Linked DNA regions of Xenopus tropicalis. The protein of the gene in region 2 purifies or fractionates together with the protein of the main gene of each other region. This does not show direct contact. Links are inferred from orthologs where the notes say so. Each region holds a gene or a part of one and is shown on either strand. Other genes may lie near its edges.

Region 1 (3,658 bases), on a different chromosome or scaffold from region 2:
AAAGTCGGCTGAAGCTGCCTCACAAAGAAACTTCAGGCTACTTTGGCTATGTTTACCTACCACTGATTTACATTCTTCCCGGTAGTAAAGCATTCGAGGAGATTAGTCACCACCGCTAGAGCACAATATGCATGGAGTGCCTAATCTCCTTGTCTGTCATAGATGAAATAGTTTAAAACCTGTTTAAGATGGGGTTTTTTTCCACAGAAAGTTTTTGTTTTTATTGTATTTAATGAAATTATTATGAAGGACTAGTCATTTTATGTTACACGTAATAATCAGATTAAATGCTGGATGCCCTTAGAAACAGTTCTAGAAAGAAATACATATGCAGCTGGGAGGCATGCCACCACGAAAAATGTGCCTCCCTAGTCTCATATCAGGCCTTTGTGGTCTTCCCAAAAACCTGGACCCAGGTGAAAAAACAGATGGGTAAATTAATAAGACTGAACAAGAACTAAACCACAGTTTGTTTTTAACACTTGTTCTCTGTGGTTTATTATCAAACTTGTTATGTTGCCGTTTTAGAATTTTATACTTATAGGAGAACTAAACCCTAAAAATGGCTAGAAATGCTGTATTTTAAATACTGAACTTATTGCACCAGCCCATCTTTAACACACAAATATGTTTGCTATTAAGAAGCTTAGCGGGTTATTGCAAATCACAGAAGAAACGGGGTTCACTTCTCTTATAAGCTGATAGTACAGGGCTGATTTCTAAAATGCTTTTTTAAATGTGAATCTGAATTACCTTGCCACCTTGTGACATTTGTATTTTATATACACAGTATATCGTGAGTTGGTCCCTGAACTTAGCTAACTGACTGACAACAGCACAGATGAAAGAGAACCATGATAACTTGCTTGCAGACCATCTTCCCTCCCACATAAGCCCAACTGAACTAGTTTGTCAAAAGGGGAACATATTTTTCTAACTTTAGGGTATGCATAGGTTATCTGTATATTTTAAATGTTTGCAAATATGCTGTATATTCATGATTAATATTGCTCATGAAGACTGAAAGGGGTTAGGGTGGGCATACAGAATTGAAGAGATGAGAAAGTGGGAATAGTTTAACCATTTTTTTTTTATTATACCTCTAAGTTTGTTCTATTCTTCTACCTTGTATGTGTACACTGCAAGTGTTCTGTGCTTCCAGTTTCATAGCATAGCAAAACCATAAACCTATCGAGACAGCTACCTCCTCCTTTTCATTCTTAAGCAGCTGGAGAAGGTTACGATTTTTGCACTGCATCTGACGATCCCTCTCCTGGTGAGCACAGTTTTCTCGCCTTGTGGCTTCCAGCTGGTCCTGTTGAAAATTTAAAAAAAAAAAACAAAAAAAAAAACTATATTTAAAATGCTTATGTAATATTTAGACTATAGTTCCAACTAGTATTTTCTATTTACTTTCAACAAAAAAACTGAAATCTGTACTGTTTTAATATCTTTTGTTTGACATAACAGTTTTATGCTTTGCAGATGATGCTAGTTATTTGTGTACATTAAAATCAAAGTCTACTAAGCACTTATTCACCACAAAATGGATAAATACGAGGAGGTTTGGTCTCCATGGACCCTATGGACTGAAAGCCAGCATACCCAGAGACTATCCCACACCGCTTAATAAATGCACAAATGAATCAGAGGACAATTATGCCTATATTAGATAGACCCACAGACCATATTCAAGATACAGCTTATATCTGTTATAAAAACTAGGCAAGAGTGCACCCCCTCCTCTTCTCCCCAATCTACCCTCTAACACAGGATTTTTCAAACTCTTTCCATCTTCCCCCTTACATTGTTTGTATGTAAACAAAACGGTTATAAAAACAACCAATAAACATAACATTTCAAAATAAAAAAAAAAATACTACTAGCCTACAGTTGGCTTGGCTTCTTATCATTAAAACTGAAGGTGTTATAAAGGTAACATGACAAAAAAAAAAAAAAAAGAAAAAAACAAACAAGACTGCTTTAAAGGTTTTACAGGTTTTTGTGTCAGTCTCATCTGCTAGTATTTCCCCCTATTTCTGAATGTATGGTGACAAAAATGGTTTTACAAAAATGTTTTACCTTTTATATCATAGCTATAAAGATTTTCAAAGCTCAGCATTAGGACAAACTCAGCTCTTATTTTAGCATTATCATTTTTCCCCAGAAAAAGGTCCCTACCCTTTCTCTCTTTTTCCTACCCTATGAAACGATTAGTGGAACTGCAACTCTCCTCCAAACTGTAAAGTTCTACTGTATCCCCAATATCAGATATAAGATCTCATACCCAGTGTTTATTTGTACATCATCTACTGTGTAGAACAGTAAATAAAGCAACTATGGTGTGGCCCACCTGCTTCTAGCTGCAACTCCTTTAAATCTTAGATTGGGCAAATTGTGATTTAATTCACAGCTAGAGGGACATCTCCTGATCATCTGCGACAGCTGGAGAGCCCCCTAGTTCCACAAGTACAGCTTTGATAGAAGCAGTTATAGCTCTGTGACAGATGGAGGGCACACTGGTCACATGGAGGAACATACTTTCTTCACATTATCCAATAGCATACATCAGAATTGCCTGTACACTTAACTGGAAGTAGTTATTCGGAGATAGCAGGAAGCCCGCCGTCTGATACATACTATTAAATAATTACATATTCCTAAATGTGAGCAGTGGCCCCACAGTTGTTACAAAAAAAAAAAGTCTGTACTATTGCCTAGACATGACTGACCTGAATGAAAAGTGTGTGACAGTTTAATCAGGCCAGGCACAGAGAGTTCTGCCTGTCATTCACTGACATTACCAGGTTATGACAATAAGCCGGTGGCTCCTCTGACTCCGAGACGTTCCAGGAGAGGAAGTGAAGGAGAGGGGCAGTGCTTAAACTAAAAGGAAAACTAGATCTAAAAAGGTATGCTAAGCTATACTAGCATGAATATTAGGCCAAGTGTAAAACCAAGGTAATCGTCCCCTTTAACACATATTTATAAACATTCCACAGTGCCATACAATAAATGGGTATTAAAAAAAAAACAAAACACCCACAACTACAACCGATACAAAAGACAGAGGGCACTGCCAAAAAGTTTCCAATCTAATATCTACAATCTTACAAATATGTATCAGAAACCCTGTAGACTCTTGAATCTTAAAAAATAAAAGGCTACCAACATGGACAACTTTAGGAATCATTTAAGCACTGCAAGAAAGTTGCTTAAGAGGCCTCCCAGGGACCCTTCTCTGCTGCCCTGAGTTATTTCAAAGATATGAAGGGTTAACCCCCCTCACCATCTGTACCCTCCTTTCTTTTATCAGGGGCTGTCACATTTCTCTGGCAGCAATCTCACCTTCTGCCTCTGATGAATACTCTGTAGATGCTCCAGGTCACCATTTATTTTCAGAATCTGTGTTTCTACTTCTTCTTTGCCTCGCATATTTTGGGAATTTCTTTGAAGTAGCTCATGAATACAGTTGATGATAGACACCAAATGCAATTTTCTTCCTTCTCCATTCTTGGATACAACTTGCACTGTTGGAAAGCCTAAGGTTCTAAGCTCCTATTTAGAGAAAAACATGTGTTATCATTCATTTTTTTCTGGTGGTATTTCAACTGTTAACAGCTTAGGTGTCCACAGAAAACATCCTTCTAAAGTAGAC
Region 2 (3,758 bases):
AGGCATATAGTATATAGGTACTAATACTAGAGCAACATAACTACAGTAAGTAGGTGTTACTGACCATAAATTAATCAATGCGCCCTGACAGGCAGTATAATTACAAGGAGTATTGTGACCAAGTGAGCGCTTAACAGCTTTTAGAATATAATGAAATGTAAGGCTACAATTTTCTTAGGTTTTATTACTTATCTTTCTATTCATACCCTTTCCTATTCATCTTCTTGTCTCTTAAACAAGTCACCGTCTGATTTCTAGGATAAATTGGACCCTAGCAACCAGATAACTTCTGGAATTCCCAGCTGGAAAGGCAAAAACAAAAAGCAACACAATTCAGGACAAAAAAAAATACAAAAATAAAGCTCAATCGGAAACTGCCGTGGAATGTTACAGTCTTCGGCATGCTAACAGTTAATTTAAAGGCAAACTACCACCTTACGGAGTAAAACCTACAAAAGATGCACAACAATTCCTGCCTATATACAGTAAAGATATAACCGCTACCGAGTGTTTTTTGTTGGCAATAGATAATACTAGCATGGCTGCTTCAATGTTCAGTTGTATTGAAGATGGGGGGTATTGCAGGAGATAATGTTCAAGTCCAGCCGGAAGGCCGCACTTTAACCCTACATTAACCATCATCTAGCAGCAGCGATTTCAGTATTTAGACGCGGGCCCAGTTCCCGCCTGTGGAACTCCCACTCTTCCCGCCGCTTCACCCGCGGACAGGCCATAACTCCGCCCACCCGCTGTGTCAGTTGAGCCAACCAGCTGTCATAATCCCACGGCGCTACAGTTCCAGCGCCAACAAACTCTGCCCTCCTTCCGGCATTTATTATTAACCCCGCCCACTGAAGAGTTACGCACACGCCCCTCTTTATAAGCACGCCTTTTGCCTATTCTCAGAAAGGCCTCATGGTCACGCCTATTTATCGTAGCCTCCCGTATATATGCATCCTATAGGCTGCTTTGTTCTGTCAGTCAGTGAAGCTCCACCCTGCTACTGCGATACTGCCATCCCTTCGCCGTAGTCGTCAGTTCGTATTAGACGTAGTTCCGACCCGCCGTGAGCGTGTTCCGCCCCCAATCTCCCGGCACTTGTTATGGAGCTTGCTGCTTATTAAGTGAAACTGTGACAAGACCATGAATTTTTCCGAAGTGTTTAAGCTTTCAAATCAGCTCTGCAAGTTCTCCCCCAACGGGAAGTATCTGGTGAGTGAGCCAATTGCGGGAGTGCATAGATTTAATCTGCGGCTTTTATTAGAACTCATATGCCCTCTTGGGACAGGGTATTCTGGGAGTTGTAGTTCAGACACAGACTGAAAAACTAAAGGTTCATCTCTTGCAGACCAGGTGTTAATAGGTTGGTAACCATGACTACCAGCATTATACATCCATCATAGGGTCCCTTTGTGGAAGGGAGAAGAAGATATTTAGCAGTATAGCCATTAGTGATGAACAGCATGGGGATGTGAGAATAGTAGTTTAACAACAGCTGGAGGGTTTCAGGTTGGACACCCCAGAATAATATATTCTCCAACACAAATGACCCTTGTCTGTTTATCCTAGAACCCATTTTTCTGTTCATCATAGGGAGTTCTGTGTTATTCTGTAGCCCAAACAAGTGCACCCTGGCTGGGCATTTCCAGGTGTAAGATGTTCAAAGGGGTTATTCACGTTTAATTAATAATACAATAATAACATTGTAGCCTAACAAAGCAATAGTTGCTTACGTGCCACAATCAGTGACCCCCAAGGAGTCCAGGTAATTCCCATAGAAATGAATGGATGAGCATTTTGTGACCTGCTGAGCTGTAAAGCACTCAGGCACTGAAATGCATGAAATCGCCCCAAGCAGGGGGACCTAATGGAGTTTTTCGTGGTCTTGCTAAATTGATGGGTTCTACTGGTCGCTATAAAGATATACAGGTATGGGACCTGTTATCCAGAATGCTCGGGACCTGGGGTTTTCCGGATAAGGGATCTTTCTGTAATTTGGATTTCCATAACTTAAGTCTGCTTTCATTTAAATATTGAATAAACCCAATAGGATTGTTTTGCCCCCCAATAAGGATTAATTATATCTTAGTTTGTGATCAAGTACAAGGTACAGTTTTATTACTACAGAGAAAAAGGAAACCATTCTTAAAAATTAGAATTATTTGCTTATTATTTGCTTATAATGGAATCTATGGGATGTAATTCTGCAGTAGACAGGTATGGGACCTCTTATCCAGAATGTTCAGGACCTGGGTTTTTCCAGATAAGAGGTCCTTCTGCAATTTGGATCACCATACTTTGCTAAAAATAATATAAACATTAAATAAACCCAATAGAATTGTTTTGCTTTAAGTAAGGATTAATTATATATTAGGTGGGATCACGTACAGGGCCAGTTATCCAGAATGCTCTGGACCAAGGGTATTCCGGATTTTCTGTAATTTGGATCTGCATACCTTAAGTCTACTAAAAATTCAATATAACATGAATTAAACCCAATAGGATTGTTTTGCATCCAATAAGGATTAATTATATCTTAGTTGGGATCAAGTACAAGGTACTGTTTTATTATTACAGAGAAAAAGGAAATCATTTTTAAAAATTTGAATTATTTGATTAAAATGGAGTCTATGGAAGACAGGCTTTCCGTAATTTGGAGCTTTCTGGATAACAGGTTTCCAGATAACGGATCCCATACCTGTAGAAGGTACTGTTTTATTACAGAGAAGGGAATAATTTTTTAAAATATGAATAATTTGATTAAAAAGGAATTTATAGGGAATGGCCTTCCCATAAATTCAGAGCTTTCAGGATTTTATGTTTCTGGATAAGGGATCCAATACATGTATAATAAAGCACCATTTGGTGGAATAAAGACACAAGTCTATGGAAAACACACTGTCTGGTCTAATTGATATATCTCTGATTCTTTTTGATGGAAGGACTATTGTAGGGTGAAAGAGCAATAAGTCCATGGATCTATCAGTGTAGTAGTGGTGGTAGGATTATTAAATTCATTTGTTTTGTGTTATTTATTTTAAATAAACCTAAACTAAAATCAGAATGTCTTGCTTATTTTTACCAGGCATCCTGTGTGCAATACAGGCTTGTAATAAGGGATGTGAGCACCCTGCAGATCCTTCAGCTATACACGTGTTTAGATCAGATCCAGTACATAGAATGGTCGTCAGACTCCATGTTCATCCTCTGTGCTATGTATAAAAGAGGACTTGTGCAGGTAAGAGATTATACTGAGAATAAGGAAAGTATTACTAATCACCTTTTGTTATTATTGACAATAATCTGGTAAAACACTGGAAATAGCTTAAGACCAGTATTTGTATGGATATGTATCAGTGAGCATTTATTGTATTCAGTGCTATATAATGTTCCTGTGTACTGTTGGTGTTAATGTAAAGTAGTGCAGTTACCTCGTATTATAGGGTGCAAATAAACACACTGTTTAGCAGCTAGATATGCTTTATTTTCTTTCCTGTACATTGCCTTTTTTAATTTTTCTCTTTGGCTTTGCACCTGAGGCATTTGTGCCCTTGAAGACTTGACTTTTTGTAGTGGTTGGTCACTTCATATTAGTAGGATTGGTGTAAGTACAGAAGCGTATAATAGCTGTATGCACTGTTACCATCAGGGGCATAAAGTAGTCATTAAGTGCAGACAGGTTACATTTACTCTCTTTATGTAATGGGGGGTACATGTACCCCCCACTTCTTTCAGTTATTGTGTAATCTATTGCACAA

Evidence for each region.
Region 1: the proteins of wrap73 (region 2) and ssx2ip purify together in Homo sapiens (co-immunoprecipitation; 4 studies listed by BioGRID and IntAct, counting the BioPlex papers as one, with this or other methods). This does not show direct contact. The link is inferred for Xenopus tropicalis from reciprocal best matches to the Homo sapiens genes WRAP73 and SSX2IP.

Annotation. Positions count from the first base shown.
Region 1 is NC_030680.2:77,501,083-77,504,740, reverse strand, and holds part of ssx2ip (afadin- and alpha-actinin-binding protein), read right to left. Parts: intron 3,559-3,658; coding exon 3,349-3,558; intron 1,316-3,348; coding exon 1,205-1,315; intron 1-1,204. UniProt on the Homo sapiens protein: Belongs to an adhesion system, which plays a role in the organization of homotypic, interneuronal and heterotypic cell-cell adherens junctions (AJs).
Region 2 is NC_030683.2:101,399,804-101,403,561, forward strand, and holds the start of wrap73 (WD repeat-containing protein WRAP73), read left to right. Parts: upstream 1-958; 5' UTR 959-1,143; coding exon 1,144-1,212; intron 1,213-3,085; coding exon 3,086-3,238; intron 3,239-3,758.